Linked DNA regions of Stegostoma tigrinum. The main gene of each other region encodes a partner of the protein of the gene in region 4 in a complex. Links are inferred from orthologs where the notes say so. Each region holds a gene or a part of one and is shown on either strand. Other genes may lie near its edges.

The links.
Region 1: the proteins of ush1c (region 4) and myo7aa are in contact, whole or in part, in a crystal structure (PDB 5MV9), measured with the Homo sapiens proteins. The link is inferred for Stegostoma tigrinum from reciprocal best matches to the Homo sapiens genes USH1C and MYO7A. Residues at the interface, in NP_001284693.1 of Homo sapiens: Glu450, Pro456, Ile457, Val461, Val462, Ser463, Tyr466, Glu467, Lys479, Gly480, Pro522, Tyr526, Asp527, Asp528, Glu529, Leu530, Thr531, Phe532, Phe533; in NP_000251.3 of Homo sapiens: Phe1946, Val1953, Ala1976, Lys1995, Lys1996, Trp1998, Gln2017, Pro2020, Lys2021, Arg2024, Tyr2026, Ser2112, Ala2113, Phe2114, Phe2115, Glu2116, Val2117, Lys2118, Ile2128, Ser2161, Gly2163, Asn2164, Thr2165, Tyr2166, His2168, Leu2181, Glu2183, Thr2184, Ser2185, Leu2186.
Region 2: ush1c (region 4) and cdhr5b share a complex: the UniProt entries of both Homo sapiens proteins name them as parts of the IMAC/intermicrovillar adhesion complex. The link is inferred for Stegostoma tigrinum from reciprocal best matches to the Homo sapiens genes USH1C and CDHR5.
Region 3: ush1c (region 4) and cdhr2 share a complex: the UniProt entries of both Homo sapiens proteins name them as parts of the IMAC/intermicrovillar adhesion complex. The link is inferred for Stegostoma tigrinum from reciprocal best matches to the Homo sapiens genes USH1C and CDHR2.

The regions. Positions count from the first base shown.
Region 1 is NC_081359.1:106,243,903-106,250,761, forward strand, and holds the start of myo7aa (myosin VIIAa), read right to left. Parts: upstream 3,009-6,859; 5' UTR 2,633-3,008; coding exon 2,522-2,632; intron 669-2,521; coding exon 555-668; intron 1-554. UniProt on the Homo sapiens protein: Myosins are actin-based motor molecules with ATPase activity. Unconventional myosins serve in intracellular movements. Their highly divergent tails bind to membranous compartments, which are then moved relative to actin filaments.
Region 2 is NC_081370.1:35,281,789-35,289,555, reverse strand, and holds the start of cdhr5b (cadherin-related family member 5), read right to left. Parts: upstream 3,018-7,767; 5' UTR 2,808-3,017; coding exon 2,696-2,807; intron 2,606-2,695; coding exon 2,433-2,605; intron 1-2,432. UniProt on the Homo sapiens protein: Intermicrovillar adhesion molecule that forms, via its extracellular domain, calcium-dependent heterophilic complexes with CDHR2 on adjacent microvilli. Thereby, controls the packing of microvilli at the apical membrane of epithelial cells.
Region 3 is NC_081366.1:45,702,577-45,710,167, forward strand, and holds the start of cdhr2 (cadherin-related family member 2), read right to left. Parts: upstream 3,004-7,591; 5' UTR 2,935-3,003; intron 1-2,934. UniProt on the Homo sapiens protein: Intermicrovillar adhesion molecule that forms, via its extracellular domain, calcium-dependent heterophilic complexes with CDHR5 on adjacent microvilli. Thereby, controls the packing of microvilli at the apical membrane of epithelial cells.
Region 4 is NC_081370.1:23,146,364-23,153,341, forward strand, and holds the start of ush1c (harmonin), read left to right. Parts: upstream 1-3,968; 5' UTR 3,969-4,051; coding exon 4,052-4,087; intron 4,088-4,326; exon of another isoform or gene 4,327-4,434; intron 4,435-6,978. UniProt on the Homo sapiens protein: Anchoring/scaffolding protein that is a part of the functional network formed by USH1C, USH1G, CDH23 and MYO7A that mediates mechanotransduction in cochlear hair cells. Required for normal development and maintenance of cochlear hair cell bundles.

The DNA.
Region 1 (6,859 bases), on a different chromosome or scaffold from region 4:
TATATGTGGAAAGATTGGAGCGACTGGGCTTGTTGGGACATTCTAACATTCTGCCCCTTTTTATTAAGATTTGGCAGTGATGCACCACCATAATGTCAGTAATGCACTAGGCTTAGAAGGATGAGAGGGGATCTGATCAAGACATACAAGATTATTAAGGGATTGGACTCTCTGGAGGGGGGAAGCATGTTTCTGCTGATGGGCGAGTCCAGAACCAGAGGACACGGTTTAAAAATAAGGGGTAGGCCATTTAGAACAGAGTTGAGGAGAAACCTCTTCACCCAGAGAGTGGTGGATACATGGAATGCTCTGCCCCAGAAGGCAGTGGAGGCCAACTCTCTGGATGCTTTCAAGAAAGAGATGGATAGCGCTCTTAAAGATAGTGGAATCAAGGGTTATGGGGATAAGGCAGGAACAGGATACTGATTGTGGATAATCAGCTATGATCATAATGAATGGTGGTGTTGGCTTGAAGGGCCGAATGGCCTACTCCTGCACCTATATGTCTTTGACAGAATGATGACAGTGCTAGCCAAAAATGGCAGAATACTCACATTGCCTTCATCATCCACAACCTGAATTTGGCCAGAGTCACAGAGTTTCACTACTGCCCCGATAGGAACTTCAAACTCACGACCAGTCTTCAGATCCAGCCAGACGTAATCCCCCTGGGAGAGAGACAGATGGCTCATTGTCAGTTTTTTTTACCAGAGGGGGAAAGATTTATCTGTAATTAAATCTCCATTATAAATTTTATACCTTTAGTGAAGTGTGCAGGCTAGGTAGTTATATTACTAGAGGCCCTAACCAACATTTTACACAATTCCAGCATCAATTCCCTGCTCTTCAATTCCATCCCTTGGCTATTGAAGGTAAATATCCCATAAACTTTTTTTAACAATCACTTTATCTAACTGTCCTGATACCTTAAAAGGGACCTGGTGTACAGATACACCAAGGTCCCTCTGATCCTCAAGCACTCCGAGGGTCCAATTGTTCATGTTTCCTCTTGCTTTGTTTGTTCTTCAAGTGCATCACCTCACACTTATCCAGACGGAATTCCATATGTCTCTGACCAACTCATCTGGCTAGCCTGTCTATAGTCTCCAGTAATCTCAGGCAACCATCCTCACTATTTAACACCCCATCAGTTTCTGTATCATCTTGAAACCCCTTCATTTCTTTATTCATTCATGGGATGAGGGAGTCACTGGTCAGGCAGCATTTATTGCCTGGAGGGCAGTTAAAAAGTCAGCCACATTGCTGTGGGTCTGGAGTCACGTTTAGTCTAGACCAGGTAAGGACGTCCCCTAAAAATAAGCCAGATAGGTTTTTCCTTGACCATATATCCAGTGTCTATTGTCATCATTGAAGTCTCAACGCCAGATACTGAAATGAATTCAAATCCTGCCTCAGCAGGTGGTGGGATTTGAACCCAGGTCCCCAGAGCATTATCTTGATCTCTGGGTTAACAGTCCAGCGGATAGTGCCTCCCTTGAGGGTAAGTATTTGCTGGACTGATCGCAAGGCCATTCTATAGCTTATGGTAGTGGTAATATTGCATTATGGCAGGTTATGGAATTTAAAGTAAAGTTAATTTGAGTCTGGAATTGAAAATAACAGTGGCTATGAATCTGATGGTGGCGGGGGGGGGGGGGGGGGGGAGGTGGCAGTAGAAGATGAATGCAAGGAAGTGGTAGGGGGAAAGGCGCAGGGCAAAGTAGGGAAAAATGTGAAAGGGGGAGTGCATAGAGAGACAGAGGAAGCAATCACCTAGTAACCATGAATGCAATGCATGCACACATCTCAGGCATTATCTATGCTAACCCTCAAGGAATTTCACGAGCAATAACCATTCCAATGTCATGACAATCACAAAATGCTCAGCAAAGGCAAACTCAGTAAAACAGATGGTCTCACATGCAATTCTCTAGTCCAGGAGGGGGAGAAAAACAAAACCTATCAAAGAAAAACAGATATAGGCAGTAGCAGGGAGAGGTGTACTGCAGCTTCTAAACCCAAGCGAACCTGGCAACAACTGCTCCTGAAAAACCAAACAAAAAAACTTAATCCTGGTTCTGAGAGCGCTTGACCTCCACCCATTTCAGGCTGCTTCTATTGTTCCAACCTTTTCAAAAAAGGAAAAACCTCAAGGCCTCAAAAGCTGCTCATTGGATTGAAAACAGACAGCTGTGTACTTCAGTCTTAAATTCTCTCAAAATATAAAAAAAAAGGACAAAATACACCCTTAAAAGGGAACATTATCATACGCCACTGACACTTAGTAGCAGCAGTGTGTACAATCAAGATGCACTGCAGAAATTCACCAAGGCTCCTCAGACAGCACCTCCCAAACACAACCACTTCTCTGGAAGAACAAAGGCAGCAGATACATGGGATCAACCACAGCAATGCCTCTACCTTTGAGCCAGGAGACCTGGGTTCAAGCCATACTTGATCCAGAGATGCATAATAATAACATCTGAACAGACAGGAGTAGAAAGCTTTGATGAGTGCTTACCGGGAGGAGCGTGTGCTGGTGTTTAAGCACTAGATTGACGTTAGGCAGCAGAGCCCATTTCCCTTCGTCCTTCTGATACAAGTCATCATCGAGCCCTCTGCGTGTGTACATGTCCTGGCTTCAAAGCTTCACCTCACAAAAACCGCAGATGCAGCAGGCCCTCAGACATCTAAGCAATGCCCAAGTGCGTTCCTGTCATCAACAACTGCAGTTAACGTCGCCATGGACTCCAGTGCCACACAGCAGGGGAAGAGGAAAGAGAATCTCAGCACAGAAACACAGCAACCTCTCGATAGGGCCAGTGAGGAAACACAAACTAATCCCTCTCTAGCGTTAACAGGAGCACACCTGACCCCATTGTGGGTGTAAGATTTCACGAGATTATGCTGCCTTTAAAAAAAGGCAGCCATATCTGGAGCGCCTCCAGCCAAACTGCACAGAATAAGACTGATGTTTCCTCAATACCAGCACCCGGTCAGTCTCTTCGTGTGGGACCCTCTCACATTGGTCTTGTCCTTTTAATTTGAGCCCAGATATCAGTCATCTGGCAGAAACAGCTTGGTGAATTATAAGCCAGGCTCTGTCGAGTTACAACAGGTATTCATTAATCCATTTGACATGTGCAATACTGTAAGCACTCATGCATTAATGTGATTACAACCTCCCTGGAAACCGTCTGGGAGGGGGAAGGGTGAGGGACAGAAGATCATGGCGGGGGGGGGGGGGGGAAGAGAAAAGGTGGAAGTCATCCATAGCTAATGACAGCAGTTGTGAATCATTTATATATAAAAAAAGTCTGTGTCGTACATCTGGTCTTCAGTTCCGATTGATGAAATTCTCTCAGTGCTGTTCACATGACACCAAAAGGCCCACCTGCTCTGGGATTGGCCAGAAACTATGCCATTTTGCTCAAAAGGCCATGCTCTGAGCTGTCGGGGTAAGTTGGGGGGTGTGGGGCGGAATTGTGAATCAACTGTCTGGAAATGGCGGTCACAAATTCCCAGTCAGACATTAAAAGCTTTAACTATTTTGACATGAGGTAGAATAGGCACACCCTGCTCTTCAATAAACACAGAAGGAAGTGGAAGTGGGCGCACAGCCTTGGGTCACACGCAGGTCTTTAGATGGAGAGTTAACTCCTCCACGAAACTGATCCAAGCCCCACATTGGCATGAGGGACACCTTTTCCCTAGGATATCCTCTGGTATAAGCCAAACAATGGGAGGTAATTTGAGTCACTGATAGGCCACTCAACCAGGTCCACTCACCACAGGCCGCTCATAAGACGGCGTAAATTTCATTTCATACACTCAACACTAAGACCCCTTCACCCATTACTCCCACAATGGCCTACGTTCACACCCAGCACCACACCAGCACAAACTTCAATTTCAGAAATGTGTATTCCGATGTTTGGAGCAGCATGGTGGCTCCGTGGTTAGCACTGCTGCCTCACAGCACAGGGACGACAGTGCAACACACACACACAATTCTCCGGTGTCTGCATGGGTTTCCTCCCACAGTCCAAAGGTGTACAGGCTGGGTGGATTAGCCATTGGAAGTGTGGGATAACAGGGATTGGGTAGGCAGGTCAGATCCTCAGGAGGGTTGGTGTAGACTCTGGGCCAAACGGCCTGCTTCCAGACTGTACAAACTAAGTGATTCTATGAAATCCCTCCGTCTGCTGTTAGAGTGTCTGTAATCTCCCTAGTCATACATCAGTATTCCTTCAATTCTGCCACTTGTGATTTTACACTGTTCCAATGTAAAATGTCATGCACTCAAATTCCCTCCTGGGACCCTTGCCCACACACAAAAAACAAAAAAAGGGGAGATGGGTTGGTTGGGGCAGGGGAGAAGAGAGGAGATATTTCAAAACCCCTCCTCTGATCAAGCATTTGGCCACTTGTTATCACTGCTCCAAAAAAAAAAGGAGGAGGCATTAGAATCTGACAGACAAAAAAAGTTACGACCCTAAGAAGCATTTTGGGATGTTTTGCAAAAAAAGGTACTAGCGGAAATGAAATTTGTGATCAGTGGAAAAAGTCAGGAACTTTTATCACTCAAAACAAAAAAAGAGAGCGAGCGAGAGGAGTAGGCCATTCAGCCCTAAAAGCCTGTTCTGCCATCCAATGTGATCATCCAAATCCTGTTCCCACTTTCTCCCCCATACCCTTCAGCCCCAAGAATTACACCTGACCCTTTGAAAACACCCAATGTTTTGACCTTATTTGCTGTGACAGAACTCTGCGACCACCTGAACCCACAGTGCCAGGCCGAGGCGCACAAGAAAGCTTCCAGAACCACGTGGATTTGGCTGGCCAGTCTGTCAAGTGCATACCAACACTCCAAAGAGGATCCCATCAACACCCACCCACCCTATTCCTGTAACCCTACTTTTCCCATGGCTAACCCACCCCAAGGGCACACGTCCCTGGACACAAAGCCAATTTTGCATGGCCAATCCATCTCAGCAGCATGGCTCTTGACGGTGGGAGGAAACCCAACAGATACAGGGAAAACGGTCTGCGTGGAGTTTGTACACAGTCTTCCAACCTTGGGATCGAACCTGGGTCCCTGATGCTGTGAGGCAGCAGCGCTAACCACCGAGGCACTGTGCCTCCCCCCTTCAGCACTAGAAAAAAAAATTTAAAAAACAAAACACACCAACTCAACCAGCAAACAGACATGCCATGCATCCAAACCAGAGACATTGGGATACATGGGATTACCAAATTAAACTCAAAACTGAGCAGTTTAGAAAAACAAAGCAAAAAAGAGAGACTTGGGCATCGACACGTTTTGAAGCCAAACAGTATATTCCAGGATTCTAAGAGTAAGGCAATCACACAGAATGGAAGAGGCCATTCAACCCATTTAGGTCAGCACTGCCATACTCTTGAGCAGGTGATAAGTGCAAGACTAGGCATCGAGATTTCAGCTAAAACTGAAATCATCCTAAAATCCTTCAATTCTGGAAAGGACCAAAAATTCAAAGAGATTCAGAAATGAGGCAACACTTTTTTAATGCTGCTTAAAAGTGGGACGAAGGATGCGAGAGTGGAGGTATAAGCATAATTAAAGACAAACCTATATTGTATTGCTGGTGAATTCCTTTGACTTAGTTGGACTACAATAAAGATACCCAGAGAGAAAGCAACACAGTTGGAGGCACGAGCTGAGGTGCACAACAGAATGGCATAATTCTGAAAGGGGAAGATCAGGAAACGGCTGGTGGCCACACAGCCCCTAAAGAGACAGGAATGGGAAAGGAACACCATAGATCAAAGTATAGGCACTGGGGGCTGGCATGTTAGTGTACGAGAAGCCTGACAAATGTTGTGGTGCCCAAAACGGTAAAGTTAAAAAAATCTGAAATTAACTGCAGATGTTGTAAATCAGAGACAAAAACAGAAATTGCTGGAAAGCTCAGCAGGTATCGGTGGAGAGTTGCTGTTTTGGGGCTGAATGACCCTTCCTTAGAGCCAGACTCTGATTTCTCTAATGTTTCTGGTTGAGGAATATTTTATGGATGTTTCAGTTCAATATTGCATCACGTGTATGTGGTTTTATCATTAGTGAGATGGCAGTGACCCATTACAAACTCAATTTATGCTTTTAATTTCTATTTGATGGTCAGTTCGCAGAAACTGCTTTGGAGGTAATATATTAGAGTCTGAGCTGTGTAAAGTCACATAGGGGCTATCAAATACAGTCTCTGTCTGGTCTTTTTAAATGGTCAATCAGGGTCAGGGTCTGAGGAAGGGTCACTCAGCCCCAAAAGTGGCAACTCTGATTTCTCACCACAGATGCTGCCGAACCTGCTGAGCTTTTCCAGCAATTTCTACTTTTGCAACATGAACAGCATCCTGCAAACAGGGACTGAGGGGAAAATGGATTTTTTCAGTTGATTTCAGCACAAGAACAAAAAGGGCATACATTTAAAGTGACGTGCAAACAAAAGCAAGGATGTGAGGAAAGAGCACCTTTTCACCAGATAGTTAGGGAATGGAATGCACTACTTGGAAGTGTAGCAGAGGCAGATTCAATTGAGGCATTCAAGAGGGCATTGGGTGATTATTTTGGAGAGGAGTGGCATGTGGGGATATGGGGTAAGGGTGAGACTGGCACTGGATAGCATTGAACTTGATAATACAGCCAGTGTGACATGGGCTGAATGACTTCCTTCCATACCATAATTCTGCAACCAAAAACTCAATCTTCAGAGTTTGCAACACCAGGTAGAGCCTTCACACAAAAACTATTAATGAAGTTGAAGGAAACATTCTGGTGCAACTCTCTCATGGAGGTCAAAGATCCTGAACCAGAGATCTGGGC
Region 2 (7,767 bases), about 12 Mb from region 4:
ACACCCACAATTAGTGTGTGTGTGTCCCCCAACTCTACCCTCACCACAAACATAAAATATGGCACACTGACATCAGATTGACAATTCTGGCACCAGGTGCCAGTCTCAGAGAATACAGAAAGCAGATAGACAAGGAAATCAGAAGATTATCCAACATTTAGAGATAAACAAAAACTATTGAGCTTCTTTCAAAAGAAATCACTTGCTTGCAATTTTTTTCATCATCTAGTGCATTTTTCAGAATGTTGGATGGGCCAAAGTTTGTGTGTATTTTTTTACAGCATTGACTTGGCTCACCGAGACGAGTGAGCAAGAAGCAAGCAGACTAGCTATTTGTCATTCTGCTTCCTGCACTTCGCCAATAAACATAAGCCCCAGTACCCTGTCCCAGAACTTTCAAATGAGCTCACTGCTTTTGTGTAAATCCTTACGAATGTTTCTTTCACCACTTGGTGAGTTGAATCACAAGTACTATGTCACTTATTCAATGCCTTACATGGGGCATGAAATGGGAGGACAGGAAAGCAACAGGAGATATTGCTGACTGGGAAGGAGTGGTTTGAGGTACTCTTTCACACGTTACAGCCTGTCCCTATGGTGCCGTGAGCAATTGCCATTGGTTGAGAACTTACCGTGTTCTAATTTAAAACAAAAACTGAGAGGGAAGTAAAGCGTACTTTAGCCTTTATCACAAGAGGTTACTGTAAAGGTGTAAGAAAATCTTGCTGCTATTATGTTGGATATGGATCTGAAAGGGTTAATGCTGAGACGTGCCTTAAGGACTCCACTCTGTGATAATGTCATGTGGACCTGATGGGAGTACAGCTTAGGATCTCTGAGGTATAATGGAAAATGGCTGCTCGTCTCAGTAATCAATGTAATTTGTACATAGTTGTTTAAATGTATATAAATGGGAACTTGTTAGAAACAAAAGCCTCTTCTTGTTAGACCAGCCAATGGTTTTCCTCTAACGTATGAGATCAGCTGGCCCTCTAAGACCCCACCTTAAAAGAGGATGGTGGCTGAAGGCCTACTGCATGATGAGCAATCGTGCAAACAGTCTCACGCAACAATGTTGTGTGCAGAGATCGTTGCTCACGCAACATATTACACGGAGCCTTGGTAACACTCAGCCTGGAGTACTAAGTATAGTTTTGGTTCCCCTTACCTAAGGAAGGATAAACCTGCCAAAAAGGAAGAGCAACAAAATTTCATGAGATTGATCCTGAAATGAGATGGCTGTCATATGAGGAGAAATTTAGTAGAAGGGGCCTATATTCTATGTCAATTAGAAGAATGAATAGTGTTCTTATCGAAATACGTGAAAGTTTGTGAAGTTGGAACATCGAGAGGCTGTCCAGCTGAGCTCACAATAACGGGTCTGAAACATGGGTACAAGAGGGGACAATTTAGTCCATCAAAACTGTTCTACCATTCAATGGTTGATTTATGATGTAACTCCATTTCCATGCCTACTTATCACTTAATATCATTAGCTGACAAAAAAGTGTTCAATTTCAAATGTAAAATTAATAGTTGATCCAGCATCAAATGCTTCTTACAGGAGAGAGTTCCAAGCTTCTACTACCCTTGCAGTGTTAAGGTTTGTCTTAAGCTTACTTCTGAAAACTCAGCTTTTAATTTATAGACTGTATCGTTGCATCCTGCTCTTCCCGCCAGACAACTACTGTTGTGTCTAGCTATCCTCTTTGTTTCTTATGATATCTTCAAAATTTAGATTAAATCATCCCTAATATTTCTAAATTTCAGGGAATTGAGGCCGAACGTGTGTAATGGTCCCTTGTAATTTCACTCTGGGAGCTGAGTATCTTTCAGGTAAATCCTTTCAAGGCCAATGCAACTATACCCCTGTGTCTGTGTGGATCTCCTGTCTTCCTGTGGCTGTGTGAATCTCCTGTCTCTCCCTGTGTTTGTGTGGAGCTCCTGTCTTCCTGTGGCTGTGTGAATCTCCTGTCTCTCCCTGTGTTTGTGTGGAGCTCCTGTCCCCAGTGACTGTCAGGATCTCCTGTCCCCCTGTGACTGTCTGGATCTCCTGTCTCCCTGTCACTGTCAGGATCTCCTGTCCCCCTGTGTCTGTATGGATCTCCTGTCTCCCTGTCACTGTCAGGATCTCCTGTCCCCCTGTGTCTATATGGATCTCCTGTCTCCCTGTCACTGTCAGGATCTCCTGTCCCCCTGTGTCTGTATGGATCTCCTGTCTCCCTGCCACTGTCTGGATCTCCTGTCCCCCTGTGACTGTCTGGAGCTCCTGTCTCCCTGTGACTGACTGGAGCTCCTGTCTCCCTGTGACTGACTGGAGCTCCTGTCTCCCTGTGACTGGAGCTCTGGCCTCCCTCCAACTGTCTGGAACAACTATTTCCCTGTGTGTATCTTGAGCTCCTGTTTCCCTGCGACTGGTTCATTGAGATTACCTCAAAATCGATTGTTTTTGTGAGCACCAGTGTGGTCCCATTGACAGCAACATCAGGTGTCTTTGACGGATCTAATATTGTAACCGGAGGTTCCCTTATTGTTATATTACTGATGACCAGGTTTGCATTGTTATTCTCTTTCACGTGTATGGGATTTTCTGAAACACAACAAGCTAGAGAAAGATAGAAAGGACGTTAAACTTACAGTTAAAAAGGGACAAACAAAACAATTGTTCATGCATAATATGAAAGGTGTGGCTTACCCTTGTTGGGAGAGCAGTGGTTATTAACAGCAGCAGTTGCATTTATCTGAAGAACTGCGAACAGGATGAACAGCAAGATGTGGGGGCCACAAATCGTGCGGCTTGTGTCCATTCTCTCTTGGACGCTGAAGATTTTTGCCAAAAATCATAAATAAAGCCTCACTAGGCCCAAGTCACTGAACCGAAACTGTCCCAGCCTCAACCGCTTCTTTCTGTTAGCAGCTTGAAAGGAATCCGAATCAAAATAGACTGACGGAAATATTGGTGCTTGTTGTTCCAACCTTTGCTTCATGGCGTTATTACTTTATTGCTATTCTGCATACCCAGTCACTGTTTAATTCCCACTATGGAAAGTCATAAAAGCTGATCACATCCTGCACTGACACGCCACTGGCTGCTCGTCAAAGGCTAATGAGATACAGTCTCACTTCAAGTGGGTGTGAATGTTTCATAGATTCCTTACAGTGTGGAACCAGGCCCTTCGGCCCTACAGGTCCACAGTGATCCTCAGACCCAGGCCCTATAACCCACCTAATCTACACATCCCTGAATGCTACAGGCAACTTAGCATGGCCAATCCACCTAGCCTGCACTTCTTTCAACTGTGGAGAGAAATCAAAGCACTCAGAGGAAACCCACACAGACACAGGGAGAACGTGCAAACCCCATGTAGGCAGTCACCCGGGGATGGGCTTGAACCTGTGTCTCTGGTGGTGTGAGGCAGCAGTGCTAACCACTGAGCCACCATGCTACCCTCTCCAAACTGTTGACAGATCTGAAAAATACATTTCCTGATAGACGCTTCTGATCAAAGTCTCCAACTGCTCTCCAAGGGCCTATTACATTGCTTCCAAGGGTGGGACTTTAAAGGAGGACACCAGCACCCACACCCCAGCTTTCCCAACCACCACTCATACTATTAATTGCCTCTTAAGCACTTCCCCCAACTGTCTCTAATAGTTCACCAGCCTCAGAGGAGAGGGTGGTAGAGGCTTGCTCATGTCCCTTGGTGGATGTTGTGAATAAGATAGATCACTTGTAAGCCAGAGTCATGCCTACTCTTGGGACTTTGTCCACCATCACCACGGTAATATCTGGCTCTGCTTACTCTACACTTAACATCCTGATCCTGGCCTTCACCATTTCTCATCCAGGGCACAGCAGCCTGGTCCCAGTTCCAAGAAGTGATCATCATTGGGAACTGAATGCTAGCCCAGCAGTTTCACAACTCCCAGTGGCACTCCTCAGGCTGGAGAGCTATGACCAGGTCTCAGAGAGGGAGCCTCATCCTAAAGGGGCATGAGTATCCCTCTGTGATTGAAGGATTTCACATTAATTCCCCTAAACACAATCTAGGAACACTTGCCTCTTGCTGCCCCTTACTTGGTTTCTATCCCAGTCTATACCCAGATAGTTAATGACGCTATGATGTTGACCCCTCGCTAGAATTTCTTTGTAAATTTGTTCCTGTACACTATTCCCATGCGGTGGTGATCTATAGATTGCATTGAACAATGTAGTTATATTCCTTAGTTCTAACTAAATTAATTCCACCCTTGACCTCTCTGAAATCTCTTTCTCCAGAACTGCAATGATGTCCTTACCCTAAAACCCTCTGAATCCTCTCCTCTGATAACAAAGTGTGGAGCTGGGTGAACACAGCAGGCCAAGCAGCATCTCAGGAGCACAAAAGCTGACATTTTGGGCCTAGACCCTTCATCAGAGAGGGGGATGGGGAGAGGGAACTGGAATAAATAGGGAGAGAGGGGGAGGCGGACCGAAGATGGAGAGGAAAGAAGATAGGTAGAGAGGAGAGTATAGGTGAGCAGGTAGGGAGGGGATAGGTCAGTCCAGGAAAGACGGACAGGTCAAGGAGGTGGGATGAGGTTAGTAGGTAGGAGATGGAGGTACGGCTTGGGGTGGGAGGAAGGGATGGGTGAGAGGAAGAACAGGTTAGGGAAGCGAAGACAGGCTGGGCTTGTTTTGGGATGCAGAGGCGGGAGGGGAAGACCTGGGCTGGTTTTGGGATGCAGTGGGGGAAGGGGAGATTTTGAAGCTTGTGAAGTCCACATTGATACCATTGGGCTGCAGGGTTCCCAAGCGGAATATGAGTTGCTGTTCCTGCAACCTTTGGGTGGCATCATTGTGGCACTGCAGGAGGCCCATGATGGACATGTTGTCTGAGGAATGGGAGGGGGAGTTAAAATGGTTCGCGACTGGGAGGTGCAGTTGTTTGTTGCGAACCGAGCGGAAGTGTTCTGCAAAGCGGTCCCCAAGCCTCCGCTTGGTTTCCCCAATGTAGAGGAAGCCACACCGAGTACAATGGATACAAATACCACATTGGCAAATGTGCAGGTGAACATCTGCTTAATATGGAAAGTCATCTTGGGGCCTGGGATGGGGGTGAGGGAGGAGGTGTGGGGGCAAGTGTAGCACTTCCTGCGGTTGCAGGGGAAGGTGCTGGGTGTGGTGGGGTTGGAGGAGAGTGTGGAGAAGACAAGGGAGTCCCGGAGAGAGAGTGGTCTCTCTGGAAGGCAGACAAGGGTGGGGATGGAAAAATGCCTTGGGTGCTGGGGTCGGATTGTAGATGGCGGAAGTGTCGGAGGATGATGCGTTGTATCTGGAGGTTGGTGGGGTGGTATGTGAGAACGAGGGGGATCCTCTGGGGGTGGTTGTGGTGGGGGCGGGGTGTGAGGGATGTGTTGCGGGAAATGCGGGAGACGCGGTCAAGGGCGTTCTCGACCACTCCGGGGGGAAGGTTGCGGTCCTTGAAGAACGTAGACATCTGGGACGTGCGGGAGTGGAATGCCTCATACTGGGAGCAGATGCGGCGGAGGCGGAGGAATACCAGCCCAGTTCTTCCCCACCGCCACCCCCCCAACTGCATCACAAAACCAGCCCAGCTCGTTCCCTCCCCCCACTGCATCCCAAAGCCAGCCCAGCCTCTCTCCGCTTCCCTAACCTGTTCTTCCTCTCACCCATCCCTTCCTCCCACCTCAAGCCGCACCTCCATTTCCTACCTACTAACCTCATCCCACCTCCTTGACCTGCCCGTCTTCCCTGGACTGACCTATCCCCTCCCTACCTCCTCACCTATACTCTCCTCTCCACCTATCTTCTTTTCTCTCCATCTTCGGTGCACCTCCCCCTCTCTCCCTATTTATTCCAGAACCCTCTCCCCATCCCCCTCTCTGATGAAGAGTCTAGGCCCAAAACATCAGCTTTTGTGCTCCTGAGATGCTACTTGGCCTGCTGCGTTCATCCAGCTTCACACTTTGTTATCTTGGATTCTCCAGCATCTGCAGTTCCCATTATCACATCATTAATCCTCTCCTCTGTTTTTTTTTCCTCTTCTATCTCTTCAGACTGTCTTACAAGCAGGAATATTTAACACCCAGACCTGCCCTTCTCTGTTATCACACAGCATCACAATTTCACATGACAGTCTGCACCTTGTAGCTCCCCAGTGTTATTAACTGTGCTTTGTATGTTCACATACATGCAGTGTATTCAGACTTCATTACTTTCTCTCTCAATCTGACTCCACTGATTATAATTTACTCTTCTCTATTTTTGCGCTATCTGCCTCTCCCAGAATTTTGTGCTCCTTTGAATTACTTTCTATTAGCCTGTCCTGGTTCCCACACCCTTGCTGAGTTATTTTAACATCTCCCCAACAGCACTAGTAAAACATGCGTCAAGGTACTCAGCCCTGGTTCTGTTCAGGTGCAAGCTTTCTGACTTGTATAGAGGTCATCTTTCACAGGGCCCAGTGCCAATGTCCCAGGGATTCAAAGCCCAGCATTCACCTGCCTAATCCTCATATTTCTGTACTCACTTGCTTTTGGGACTGAGACTAATCTGAAGTTTGCTACTTTAGAGGATTGTTCTCACAGGGCTCCTTAAAGTATGATTGCAGGCCCGCATTCCCTTTTCTCCCTCTGTTGTTAGTTTCAGTGTGGGAGATACCACCACTGCCTGTTCAACCTCCCCCAGAAGAATGTCTGTGATATCACTGATCATAGCACCAACGACACAACAGACCATCCTGGAATCACATCAATGGCTGCAAAAATGCCTGCCTGCTTCCCTTACCATAGAATTCCCTTTCAATACTGCCCTTTCACTCTGATTGCTCCACTCGTGCAGAGCTGGGCTACCTGTAGTGCCATTAGCTTGACTCTTGTTACACTCCAATATCTAGAAAGAAAACAGCTAGCCAGCAGGACCACTGGGGATTCTTGCAGTACCCTCCTGTTTCTCTTGGTTTGCTGGTATCAGTCATTCCTGAACTGCCTTTTTACGTTCCTTATCCCTAATTTGGAGCATGACAACATCTGTGTGTGCGCAGTCCATGTAGATTGCTGCACCTCAGTGATTCCAGCTGTTGCTCCAGCTCTGATGCTCAGAGCTCAGGTTTATGCATCATGGTCACTTCCAGCCCAACTGGGTCGTGAGATGATAAAGTGTGAAGCTGGATGAACACAGCAGGCCAAGCAGCGTCTCAGGAGCACAGAAGCTGACGTTTCAGGCCTAGACCCTTCATCAGAGCTCTGATGATGGGTCTAGGCCCGAAACGTCAGCTTTTGTGCTCCTCAGATGCTGCTTGGCCTGCTGTGTTCATTCAGCTTCACACTTTATTATCTTGGATTCTCCAGCATCTGCAGTTCCCATTATCTCTGGGTTGTGAGATGGGTCCACAACTCCCCACACACCACATTCTGTTTGGTTGAGCTGCCCTGCCATACCTTTTAGGAGAATCTCGATCAGGAGCCATTGTTTAAAGCCAAGGGTTCCCTATTTAAAACAACACATCAGACAAAATACTTAATTCCAGAGAGTCGTGCTTCTTTGAAATTCTCTTCTTGAAAAGGTGGTGAGGCGAAGTCCTTGAATATTTTTAAGGCAGAAGTTGACAGTTTCTTGTTAAGCAAGGGGGTGAAAGGCTATCAGGGATGGATGGAAATGTGGACTTGAAGTTATAATCTAAAAAGCCACGACCACATTAAGTAGCAGAGCAAGCTGAAGGGGCTAATTTATATGTTTGTATATTCTTCCCATGTCGTTGCAGA
Region 3 (7,591 bases), on a different chromosome or scaffold from region 4:
ACAAGGACAGGGTGGCAATCCTACCCCGTAGCCAGAACAACAACAACTGCCAGAATTTTTTTTTCCACCATATCATTTCTTGGAGCTTCTAAGGACTTTATGGGTCCTCAACTCATTATTGCTTCAAGGGTGTCACTGAATCTCCCCTCACAAGAAGATCCCTTCCATTTAATCTCAGTCGCCCTCAATGCAACCAGTCAAACAGCTCCATCATTTGGCTTTCCAACTGTTGCAGGTTTTTCACAGGGTGAACATGCAATTGTTTGCAACCGTAGAACAATCAGAGTACCCTGTTGTGAACCAAAAAAGCATTCCACTTCCTTAGTGTTCACATTATTTGTGACCACAACACTCCAGGTATTGCAGGATTGTGTTATATATTCAGGGATCCACCCTAACGTGCACACCAGGGTGACTCATTGGTGCCATCATCTTTCAAAGGCCCTCAAACCATACAAGGACAGTTTCTGGATGGCAAATAGAATCTCCTCTGTACCTGGTTGATAACATCTTGAAGAAATCCTGTGACTGTTGCCAAGGGAGATACAACTCTTCAACCAGAGCTATTGTAGAATAGACTGAGTCCTTCTGAATATGTGGCTTCCAAGCCTGAACCAGACAGGTAGTACCTTACAGCATACCACAGACAGTGCGTGCCTCATCATGGTGATGTTTTGTGCCCTCCACAAAGAAGTATATAAAATTATGAGAGGCCTGGTTAGGGCAGATAGTCAGAGAATTTTTCCCAGGGTGGAAATGCGAAATACTAGAGGGTATAGGTTTAAAGTGAGGGGAGCAGTTTAAAAGAGTCATGCAAGGCAAGTTTTTTACACAGAGGGTTGTAAGTGCCTGGAATGCTCTGCCAGAGAAGGCAGTAGAAGCAGATATGATAGCAATATTTAAGGAATAAAGACCATGTACAGACAGATGGGATTAGTTTAGAATGGCACAGACATTGTGGGTTGGAGGGACTGCTTCTGTTCTTTTTTATATTCTACAAACGTCAGAGACCTTGAGCATTTCTTCCTCCACTAGCTGCGGACAAGTGTCAGGCTCTGACCATTTGTGAATTGCCTGTGTAGTGGCACAGTTTGACTGAATGATAGTTCTATGTGTACTATCAGAAAAAAGATGATGTCAGCTCTCCCCTTGTGGAGGGAGTCATTGACCCTTTTCCTGCACTACAAGTTGTTTCTCCTGTGGGGAACAACAGCATTGACACATGCTGCAAGGATGTGTCTGATGGGATAGATTCCTGATGCCATCACCAGGAACAGGAAGATCCTTCTAATGATGATGCAGCAGGGTAGCATCAGTAAACCAGGGAGACAGTAGAACCTTCCTTGCAGGCATTTCTGGGCTTGGGGGGTTACACACTGCAGGCTAACTGGAAATCCCTTGTTTCCCGGTTTTTTTAAGTGGTGTCCAACTGGCATTTAAAGATGGCACCTGAACCTTCAACACCAAAAGGTCGCAACAGCACTGACAGCGATGAGGCTTGTGCATCATTACACAGAGAATGAGCTTACATTCACATAATCATGAGGTAATTGCATTGGTAGATACGATGCCATCCAATATGCTCGATGTTACAGGATGGAAAGTTATGCCCAGAGTGTATACAAAGAGAAGAATTAAAATAATGGTTATGAGGCCAAATGACAGTGATCACTGACCACTGTACTTTCTCTTGTCCTAAGTGCAAAAACATGATGAAATTGTGCTATTATACCATGTTGATCTCATTTTCCAAGGCAAAATAAAAGTAGGAGTTAATTTACATAATTATAAAATAATTGGGGGTCATGATCATATAAAATGACTTCTACAATGTCTACATAGCAACATAGGAGTAGTGTAGGGCACCCAGCACACTGGGCCTGTGCTACCATTCAACATGATTATGGCTGATTGAAAACTTTGACATCTTCACTTATACACTATTCCCAGAACCCTTTACGCCATGAGTAATCAAAGATTTATCAACCTCTACCTCAAATATTGTCAAAATCTACCTTGCACAGCCCCCTAGAGGGATGAATTCCAGACATTCACAACTCTCTAAGTAAAAGAAAATCTCCTCATTTCAGTCCTAACTAGCATCCACTTACTGTTCAATAGTGTACCCTTGCTCCAGACCCACAACTAGGGGAAAAATCTTACCTGCATTTATCCCATCTATCCCTTTAAGAATTTTGTAAGTTTCAATTAGATCACCTCCCATTCTTCAAAACTCCAGAGAATACGGGCCATTTTACCCAATCTCATGAAGGGGGCTGTGTGGATTTCAAAACCCAATGTACATTTTCAGTTTCAGTTTATAAAAATGGCATGGAAATTGAAAGCACACTTTGGTGCTACAGTGAAATATGCTCTCAGGTTGTGACAGCAATTTCAGATTTCACCAAAGACCTCGGCACCAAATGAAAAAGGCACTTTCTCACAGAGCGGGAAGGAGGAATAAAAGTCGGTGGATATGAACACGCGACTAAAAAATCAAATATCGCAGTATTAGCGGGTGTCACCATGGTTTGTCTGCTCCTCTGTATTTGGCACAGATTGATATGTAGTGTTAATAATGGAGGTAGTTACATTACTTGGTTTGCAAAGTGAAAAACTAAGGTAGAAAGAAATCCACTCATCATTTCCTGTCATGGCGAAATGGCCAGTAGTATATATAAATGACAATGAATGTAAATATCTTTCACTTGGGATGTACTTTACAATCCCCATACAAATACATTTTCGCTAGCATACGTTGAATTCCAAAATAAAGAATATTGCACTGTTTTCAAATAAATATATCCAATGATAGCAAATTACCTCAAAAACTTTTGTGTCAAATTCTAAGGCATCGAACAGTAATAAATTATCACAGGATAATTAACTCAAGTTTTCAATTTGTGTATGCTCTAAGAAGATGTGACTACTTACGATTTTTACTGGAACCTTCTTTGTGTGAAATCTATTCTCTCATCGTTGGTTGACACTGATGGACTTTTACTTGTTTTACAGTTGAAGCAGTAAACCTTCCTACGTTATAAATGTTACTGATTAACAAATCACAACTGACAGAAGGTGTTCGCAATGGTACAAACACTTCCTTCATGAGTCAGAGAGAAGAAAACAATTAATTGACAAGCAACTGGCTACTTGTTAGTAAACCATGAGACAAAATTTGAAACCTATCAACATAAATCTTAACATACGTATAGCAAAAACATTGATATTTTATATTATTTAATTTCTTACACTTTTCCTGTATATATCTATATATATCAACAGGTTTGTACAGGCAAGGACCTTATTCTCTAGGTAATGAAGCAGATGCTTATGTAATTGAAAGATTATTCTGCTGTTTCTGCCACTATGAATTTGTTGCTTGCCTTCATTAGCTGAGGCAAGGAATATAGGAGCAAAGAAGTCTTCTTCCAATTTTAAAAAAATATTAGTTAGGCCACAGGTGGAAGGCTGTGTGCAGATTTTGTCACCACACTATCTGAAGGACCTGACTGCACTGGGAAGGATGCCAAGGAGATTCACCAGGCTGTTGCCTCAGTTATGAGGACAGACTGGGTAGGCTGGGTTTGTTTTCCTTGGAGCAGAGGAGGCTGAGGAGTGTTCTGATTGAGGTATACAAAATTATTTGAGGCTTAAGCAAAGTAGATTTTTTTTCCCCAAAGCAGATATGTCGAAGAGCAGACGGCATAAGTTTAAAGTGAACAGTAAGTGATTTAGAAATCCGAAATTAAAAATTCACCCAGAGGGTGGCAGAAATATGGAATATGCTGCCCGAGAGGATGGTGGAGGCATTCACTCTCACAACATTTAAGAAGCATCTGGATGAGTACTTAATATGCCAGGGCATAGTGAGCTACAGACCAAGTGCAGGTAAATGGGATTAGTTAGTTTGGTGTTTGTTGGTTGACCTAGACACGGTGGGCACTGTGCCTGTTTCTATTCTGTATGACCCTATGACTTTCTATGACTCTATAAAAAGCAGCCCATTTGATTGGCACCACATCCATAAACATTCAATCCCTCCATTGCTGATGCTCAGTAACAGCAGTGTCTACCATCCACATGATGAATTGCAGAAATTCACCAAGGCTCCTTAAATAGCACCTTCAAAACCCATGACCACTACCACCTAGATGATCAAGGGCAGCCGACGTATGGGAATGCCACCATGTGCAAATTCCTCTCCAAGTCACACACCGTCCTGATTTGGAAATACATCAAAGTTGCTTCATTGTCACTAGGTCAAAATCCCAGAACTGCCTCCGTGATAGTATAGTGTGTGTACCAACGTCTGCCCTTGCTTCCAGTCATGGTCTTATGTCCCTGATCACTAATCAAACCAGGAAACCCTATCCTCAGGAATGTGACTGCCTCATGGAAAAAGGTGTCTGGGTATCTTTCCCTCTCGCAGTGTTAGCCACTCCATCTTCAGCTCAATAACTCCGTGCTGAAATTCCTGCATATTATATCCTGGATCACTCCAGGACCGAAAAACACCCACCTTTTGAAATTCATGATTTATTTTGGCTGTCCCAAATTGCCACAAAAGTAAAACACTTTTAACATGTTGAGAAAGCAATCAATGTCGCTGAACCATATAAGGTGTTTATGACAAATCTGAATTTGAAATAGTTGGTCTTCCTAATGCATTTAGGGAGTTCAGAGTTAAGAAAATTTATGCACTTTTACTGGTAAACTTAACATCTATAGTCAGGAATCTTTCAATTTAAGATTATGTGAGTGAATATTCATCAGTTACTAGGAAGTTAACACTTGTTGTCAATTACCATACAATGTAAATATTATAGGTGCAAATGGAATATTGAAGGTGTTCAGACCAGAAGATTTAACTGCTAATAGCAATTTTATTTTCAGCAAATCACTGAGTTCCCCTTGGTGTATTTTATATAAATAGTATTTTAATTTTACGTATAAAAACAAATATATTCACCTATTTGTTTACTTTTTATTTGAATCCACCAGTGACACACTGAACATTTTCCAGAAAATAATTCAGGATGATTGTTGTAATTGATAGCATGTGAACTTTGAGTCTGGTTATAAGCTCTAAAGAATTCACTTACTGTGCAATAAAATGGTGGAAGGCTAGATAACAAACAGTATGATGGCATAAACCAAATGTAACCCTGGCAACAGAAATCATACAATACCTTTAAACCTTGTGATCTAATAATCTCAGTCCTACAGTGGATCTAGCTGTGTTGTCATTTTTGATTAATTACTTACCCACAACATGAGGATTGCTGTTACAAATCATTCTACAAACATGGTTCTTCTGTAAAATGGCAAGCAGCTCTCATCTTCTATATTCATAATGTCATGACTTCAGATGGTACTCATCCAGTGTACTAAAAATTTCACTGCCTTTTATCCTACTTTCACCCGAGATTGTTCCATATTTAGCACATGGTCATGTGTACCAAATCTTAAAATTCATGAATTAACAATTGGTTAACTCTTTTCCATTGGGTGAATCAGTAAAGGAGGGCAGCCTGGTGCTATGTATTTGATGACTGTATGATAAGATCACTGATCCCATGACCACAACCTTTACCTCTGACAGTTTGTGCCAGCTTCTGAGATTTACATGGATTGATTTTACAGTTTTCCAGGAAAATTGATTAAGAAGGAGTTTGTAACTGACTGGCTTCATCGACACGGAAATAAAGGTAAAGTCGCCGTAATCTCACCAGACCATAGGGCTGCTTTCTAGAGAGAAATGAATGGTGGTAGTTTAAACTGAGGGTCACCGGACCTCAGGCAAAGGGAGAGGTTAAAAAAAACAATGCCACATGCTAACCTCAATCAGAATAGGAACTGAACCCACACAGCTGGTATCTCTCTACTTCTCAAAGCTGTCAAGGCAACTGAGCTAAACTAGCCCCCTCTACATGAAAATATCAAATAAAGTAGCTGTTGCTTCATGTTGGTTATAAAGAAAGGCTGGATAGGCTGGGACTTTTTTCACTGGAGCATAGGAGTTTGAGAGATGACCTAATAGACATTTATAAAATAATGAGAGGCACAGAGAGAGTTAATGGTAGTTGTCTTTTTCCCTAAGATGGGGATTTCAAGAGTAAGGGGCACATTTGTGAAGTGAGAGGAGAGAGATTTACACAGAGAGGGATTTGCATGTGGAATGAAGTTTCTGAGGAAGCGGGGGATGTGGGTACAATTCCAATGTTTAAAAGATATTTGGAGAATTATATGAATAGGAAAGATTTGGAGGATATGGGCCAGGAGCAGGCAGGTGGGACAAGCTTAGTTTGGGATTATGTTCGACACGGGCTGGTTGGACTGAAGGTCACTTTCCATGCTGTATGACTCTGTTAAGGCACAACAGTGACTTCAGGAAGAATGAAAGGTGTTGATATGCACTTGAATATCTTGCTATCCCTCAATGTAGTGGTAATCCTCAGTATAAACAGCATATAAACAAATAAATTTCAAAAAGTTAATATATCATATGACATTGTGTGTTGATAACATTTTATTGAGAGATAAAACTATGCTCCTAACAGCAAAACAGCCAAGAAAACTAGGAGACAGACTTCATGATGTTCATGACAATCAGATTATTGAAAACTGCTGGCAGCACTACAAGATGATGGGATGGAGATTAAACATTAACCAATGGGAATTTAGATATTTCTAAAAGTTGAGGAGGAGGCAGTGGGGGTTCAAGTTCCTATTTATTTTAAGAATGAATCTAGGGTAGCCCTTCTATCTTCTCTGCTTCTGTACCTAGCAGTCTTCACTCTCACTCTGGGATGGCACAGCCAAACTCCCATAGAATATGTTCCCAACCTACCAGAATGATAATCTCACTTTCCAAGTCAATTTCTCCTAGACTGGGTTCGTGAAATTGTAAATTGTGCCGGCTCTGCGCTCTCTGCCCCACAACAGAAATTCAGGCCTAAATATGTAATGTATATCTGCCAATATTAAAAAGTCTGCTTCAAAATGCCAGAAAACCTGATCTAATTAGTGTTAAAGATAAAAATTTGCTTATGTTTATCTTCTAAATTTATTAGTACTTTTACTTTATGGAAAGTAGCAGTAACTGCTGCAAAAGGGGACAGAGTTTCAGTCGCAAAGCACAGTTGCCTATGTGGATTGTTGCATTGAATCCATACCGTGTGGGAACAGGCCATTTAGCCCAAAGAGTCCACACCGACCCTCTGAAGAGCATCCCTCCAGGCCCATCCTCCTACCATATCATTCTGCATTTCTCATGGCTAACACACCTAATCTGATTTCTGAAGAAGGGTCTAGACCCAAAACGTCAGCTTTCCTGCTCCTTTCCTGCTGCTTGGCCTGCTGTGTTCATCCAGCTCTACACCTTGTTATCACACCTAATCTACATATCCCTGAACATTATGGATAATTTAGCAAGGCCAATCTACCTAACTTGCACATCTTTGGACTGTGGGAGGAAATCAGAACACTTGGCAGAAATCCATGCAGACGAAGGGAAAATGTACAAGCTCCACACAGATATTCATGTAAGGGTGGAACTGAACCCAGGTCTCTGGTGCTGTGAGGCAGC
Region 4 (6,978 bases):
TGTACCAGAGAGTGAAAACAGGACAGTTTCAGAAAGAAATCTTCAATACTGCCAAAAACTGAGTTTAGGGAATTCACATTTTGACTATGATGTTAAAGTAATCGTCAGTTCGGTTTGCACAATGTTTCAGTTGCTCCAAGAAGATCCCAGCCAAACAAAAACACTAAATGAATGTGCAGGAGTTTGCCAGAAGGAAACAGGTTGCAGTTGTGCCAGACTGAGCAAGAAGCTTTAGAATGGAGATCGTAGTAAACCTTTGATGGGACTTGACTTTTGTAAAAATATTGCTGCGCTAAAAAGAATAGTGAGTGTCATTACTTTTCTGGTGTTTGTAATGAAACTTTCCAACCTTTTCATCTCATTTAATGTAGTTCATATTTTTACCTGTCTAATAAATGTTTAACTCTTTGTGATAAAAATGCACTTGCAGACTCTTCTGAATGTAACTGAACTCTGCAGTTTAGAGAAAGGGTAGTGTCTATCAAACCAGGTTTCAATGTGAGATCTGACTAGTCCGGTACTAATATCAGCTGCTACAAAACACTCCATTCAACAGGTTCACGACTGATCTGATTTGACCTTAACTTTGCCTTCCTGTCTACCCATGACATCTTTTCACTTTCTTGTTAATTGATACCATAAGATATTGTCACAAAATTAGGCCATTCAGCCCATTGAGTCTTCTCCACCATTCAATCATGGCTGCTAGGTTTCCCAATTCCATTCCATTGTCTTCTCACCATAACACTTGACCCCCTTACAAATCAAGAACATATCTATCTCTGCCTTAAGTACATGCAATGACATGGCTTCCACAGCAATGTGTTCCATAGACTAACCACCGTTTGGCTGAAGAAATTCCTCCTCATCTCAGTTCTAAAGGGTCATCTCTTTACTGAGGCTGTGCCATTGGGTTCTAGTCTCTCCGACTGGTGAAAGCATCTTCACCATTTCCACTCCACCCAGGCCGCTCAGTATTCTGTAAGGAAGCTATCCAACTCAATTTTACATATACTTAATAACCCTGCTGTCTAGGCAAAACAAAATCTCCATCTCCATCTCCATCTGAGTGACAAAAATAAATGTGGAGCTAGCAAGAATCAGAAGACCTTGAGAGTTGGGGGATAAACAGGTCAGCATAACATCAAGGGCCGAAGGGCCTATACTGCGCTGTAATGTTCTATGTTCTAAATGGAGATAATTTTATTTTTAAATTCTGTCCGCTAATTCTAAATGCTCCCATGATGGTAATTGTGCCTTGAGTATCCCCAAGCACTTTATACATTTCAATTAGATTGCTTCTCACTCTTCTAAACTCAGGAGATACATGTCCAACTTTTCCTCTTTACCTTTCTTCTACCCTCACCCCAAAACCACCTGAGCTCTCCATCATCCAAGGAATCAGATGGGCATACTTTCTCTGAATTTCTTCTAATGAAATTATGTCTTTTCTTAAATAAAGAGTCCAAATCTACATAGTATTTCAGATGAGATCTCACCAATGGTCTGTACAACTAGAAAAATGTTCCTACTTTTATATTCCATTACCGTTCGACAAATAACAACATTGCCTGTCAGGATGATAGGGACAGATGACTTTTAAGAAATATTTAGATGTGTGTGACATAAAGGTTATTATGGATATGCGTCCAGTGCTGGAAAATGGGAGTATAGCAGTTAGGAAGTTGTTTTTGACTGTTTCAGACTCAATTAGTGGAAGGGCCTTTTTTTCTGTGCTGTAGGCCTCTATGACTCTGTTATGTATGTCTTCCTAATCACATGCTGTACTTGCATATAACTTTGTGATGTATGTACCGAGATACCCAGATCCCTCTGCATGATCAGTTCTGTGTTTAAATCTCCCCAGTTAATTAATGTGCTGCTTCATTATTCTTGTTGCCAAACTTGACAAATTCACATTTTTCTGCATTGCACTCCATCTACCAAAGTTTTTCTCACTCTCATTACCTATTTGTATACATTTTTAGACTCCTTATGTTCTCTTTACAACGTACTTTCCCACCTATCTTATCTCTCGGCAAGTTTAGCTGCCACGTATTCAGTCCAGTTATCCAAGGCATTGATCAAGATTGCAAATACTTGAGGCCTCAGCACTGATTTCCAAGGCACTCCATTTTTTACACAAGGTTGTGGAGCGCACACAAACTGATCGAAACTTCAGGATTTAGAAATCTGTCATATTATTTGGAAATGCTGAAGTTGTGACTTGTCACTCACTGTTCTGCCACAAGCTGATGTGTGGACACTAACCCACGTGCAAAGCTAGCAATTAACAAACCAAGTGGATGTGGTGAGAATTTCCCAATCCAAAAATAGATCTGGCCCTGAAGAGATAATGGGAACTGCAGATGCTGGAGAATTCCAAGATAATAAAATGTGAGGCTGGATGAACACAGCAGGCCAAGCAGCATCTCAGGAGCACAAAAGCTGACGTTTCGGGCCTAGACCCTTCATCAGAGAAGGGTCTAGGCCCGAAACGTCAGCTTTTGTGCTCCTGAGATCCTGCTTGGCCTGCTGTGTTCATCCAGCCTCACATTTTATTATCCTGGCCCTGAAGAAGCATTTTTGTATTTGTGGAGTGATACAAAATGTCTCTCTTATGATTAACTTAAGTTGTTTAAAACCAAGCTTTGTGAATAATTCTTTAAAAATATTTTTGTGATGTTTCAGTATGTAGCTTCACCCCATGCATACATGCTAGTCTTTAATTTGCTTTTGTCAATTTTTAAAACAGTGACTTTATGGAAGCGCTTTTCATTGATTTAGAGAATTCTTTGGCTGTTCATACAGCTTGATGACATCTCGATGCAGCTGCATAGAAGGATTCCCCAGAAAACAAGAATCAAGTACAGGGTGAGAGAGAAAAAAAGCCAGGGAGATCATTGCACCTCCAGTGCATCTATGCTTCAGCACTGTGCAAAATTCAGACCATTGTAAAACACTGCATTTATGCTAATTCTCATTTGCAGTAGGTATTATACATTTTGATAAACCAAAGCTAAATCTTGGTGAACTTCAAAAAGACAAAGCTGCGCCACTACAGGGTGCAGTATAAATTTGTGATTCTATTTGATGCCAAGTTTCTGATCTTAAATATAATGATTTCAGGAGGTACCAAAACAGAAATCAAGCCTTCTCCCCACAGGAAGAGTAAGAAAATCAAATAAATAAAACGCTCACATTGCTTGCCTGCATCTATTAATTAATGGTCATGTGCAGCCCCATGGATTGAAATCTCTTAGGTCAGTGGTAATGTCCCTATCTCTGGACTTGAAGGTTTAGGTTCAAGTCCCAGCTGCCAATGAGGTGTGCTATATAAGATTTGAAGTAGTTGATGAAAAATTTGGGGAGCAGGTGTTGTAGAGGTAATGTCAGTAGCTGAACAATTCAGAGCTCCACGCTAAACCTGTGCGGACTATGTTCAAATCCCAGCACGCAAAATACTGGAAATTGTATCGCTATATCTCGGCCAAAGGACGTAAATGCAAGTTCCACCTACCGACATGCGTCGTAACATTTGCCGGAAGCACGCTCGGGGTCTTCCTAGCTCTGGGCCAGAAAATTTAGGTTCAAATCTCTGAATTGGTGGAGGTGTGTCATAACGTCTCTAAACAAAGTGATTAAACAAATGTTCTTTCTTTTAAAGCAAGTCCACGGTGTTTTGCTCAAGGAACCTTGAAATAAACACAGAAAAAAACTATTAAGACACCTTAAAACATAAGCTCGGTATTATATACATGAGATTTATTTGGATTGTGTTTGCCTGCGCAAGATGGGTCTTTAAAAAATAACTGAACAAACCGCTTTATAAATGAACGCGATCATTTTAACAACTTAAAGTAAAGCAATGCGGTAACAGCAGAAGCATACATGCGAACGGTGATACTTCACAGAGACACAAATCATGTTTAAAGTTTGTTTTCTTATCTCGCCCTGTCTGCTGTCATTAACTGCAAGCTCTCCACACCCAAAGGGTTGAGAGGAAAAGGGGCCGGTCATTCCTGGTTCCCATCGCATCCAGCCTGCCAGAATGGAGAAAAAGGTGGCCAGAGAATTCAGACGTAAGGTAGGGAGCGAGGGAAGTTGCAAAATTTAAAAACTACGCAGCTTTTCACTTATCTTGAACGTATTTCTGTTAGCGTTAGGACGTTGTTGCTGTGCTCAAAGAAGAGTTCGTAAGCTTAGGTTATGAGAGACTATGGACCCAGCTGTATCAATAACAAGTGGGGGAAGGGCATTTGTTAGTTTCCCGAAAAAATGTCTATTTCCATTCAGCTCTGTTTTCGTAGTGTTCAAACGGTGTACCTGGAGTAAAACGCCTTTAAATGTTGATATTTGTGATAAAGTTTCCGCAATGTTTCCCCTGTTCTGAGCAATCGCTCTGCCCAGGAAACGATCTCACTCAACCCTGGGAGTCGAGCGCCGTCAGAGGAGCAGGGGAACACATACTTCCATAAGCTCTTGGCAGTAGATTGAACACAGTGAACCCATTGAAATGCGATATCGTAATGAAAACTATTTACAACTGCGCGAAGAAATCCAGTATTTTGCATCTAGACACATGTTAAGGCGCCTGGACTCTAACGTATATTGGGAACGTTGTACCTTAACAAAGGCATTGCCTTCCAGACTCTATATAACAAAATCGATACAATAAAATGAAGAGTATTACTGATGTCGCAATCAAACTTAATAGTAAATTAGTTTTTATTTCTCTTCATGCTATTTCCAAAGAAGCTAACAATCTTCATTGAACCCCGTATAATGCGGCGATCATACAGTTCTCAATAAATAGAGGTTTTTTTTTCCTGGCAGAATCCATATTTCCAACCAAGTGGGTTTAGGTCAGTTCAGTTCCTGCAATAAAGTCAATTGAATGAGTGTTTTTAAAAATATAGTTTTCAATGTTGCTTTAATATTTGAGTGATTATGGATGCCTCGTCTATAATTACCTAAGCGTTATGGAGCACAAGGCATATCTCAGCATTGATGCCGCTGCAGGCTCTGTAATAAATGAGGACTTCCCAGCCAAGACAGTAAGGTCTGGGCATTCCAATAGATTCCAGTAGCACGTCCTGATTGAGGGAAGACCAAATAGATTTCCCACTCTTTATTGTTGCAAGTGTGTGTGTGTCGAGGTAGCGGAGTTAGAAACAATGTTTTGTAACACCATAAAGGCAGTACACTCATGTAATAGCACTAAACTATTTAATGTCCTTGGCATTTTGTTCTAACCCTTTGACTGTGAACAGGAAGAAAGTATGGCAAAAATATATAAAAAGCAACAACTGCCTTCATCTGCCTCCACCCTTTTCTCCAGAATTTCCTACCCAAATATCTGCATCTCCCAATCTTGCTTTACTCCTTAAGGAGTTTTCTAATTCTTTGACCAAGCATAACTGCCTTTTTTCCCCTCTTTTTCAGCTTTTTAAAAAAATTTGCTTCCACGAAGTACCTTGGGATGTTTATTATGTTGAAGAAACCAAAGATGTTGCAAATTATATTGCAGCAAGTTTTAAAATTTACGTGGGTTCCATTCCTGCCATCACCTTCTCAGCTCCTTGCTAACTTAACCATTCATTAAGTACCAACTAAATAGTGACTGATTGAAAAACCTGTCTGTTATAGAAAAGGTATGACATTGGTATCAAATTTGCTTTCACTTGACATTGACATTTGTGCACTTCATGTGATGTATCACCCTGTGAGTATTCACTCTATTGAGGTTCATTGTCCAACTCCTATGCTTCAAACATAGATCAGCAAATTCTGTACAGTGATTGCACAGCAATTTTTTTTCTAATCTTTATAGTTTGATATCTTACCATGTGGTTCATTTTACTAACACAGATTGTTAGTTCTTCGTGGTCATCTTTCTCGCAGTTCAGTGGTGAACATTGTGGTTTAATTGCTGACCATGAAATAAGAGCTGCTAACTTTGTCATTCTGCAACTCACTTTTGCATAACCTTTGAATATCGCCCTGAAATAGCAATATCATGGAATAGGATTTAAAAATTATGAAGCTGCCATGTAATCACTCAGAATACAGTGAAGTGTGCAAACTGTGATAAACATTGGAGCATAGAACAATACAGCACAGTACAGGCTCTTCAGTCCACGATGTTGTGCCAACCTGTTATCCTCCTCTAAGATCAAACTACCCTGCATGCCCTTTATTTTACTATCATCCATGTGTCTATCCAAGAGTCGCTTAAATGTCCCAAATGTATCTGGCTCCACTACTACCGCCAGCAGCACATTCTTCGCACCCAGCACTCTGTGTAAAGAACCCACCTCTGACATCTCCCCTATACGTTCCTCAAATCTCCTTAAAATTACGCCCCCTCGTAATATTCATTTCCACCCTGGGAAAAAGTCTCTGGCTATCCACTCTATCTATGCCTCTCATCATCCTGTACACCTCTATCAAGTCACCTCTCATCCTTCTTCACTCCAATGAGAAAAGCCCAAGCTCCCTCAACCTTTCATCATAAGACCTAGCCTCCAGTTCAGGTAGCATACTGGTAAATCTCCTCTGCACTGTCTCTAAAGCTTCCACATCCATCCTACGATGAGGTGACCAGAACTGAACACAACATTCCAAGTTTGGTCTAACCAGAGTTTTATAGAGCTGCAGCATAACCTGACGGCTCTTAAACTCAATTCCCCTGCCAAGAAACGCCAACACATCATATACCTTCTTTATAACCCTTTCAACTTGGGTGGCAAATTTGAGGGATCTATGGACATGGACCCCAAGATCCCTCTGTTCCTCTCCATTATCAAGAATCCTGCCATTAACCCTGTATTCTGCATTCAAATTTGACCTTCCAAACCGAATCACTTCACACTTTTCCAGTTTGAATTCCGTCTGCCATTTCTTTGCCCAGCTCTACATCCTTTCAATGTCCCATTGCAACCTACATTATGCACAACTCCACCAACCTTCGTGTCA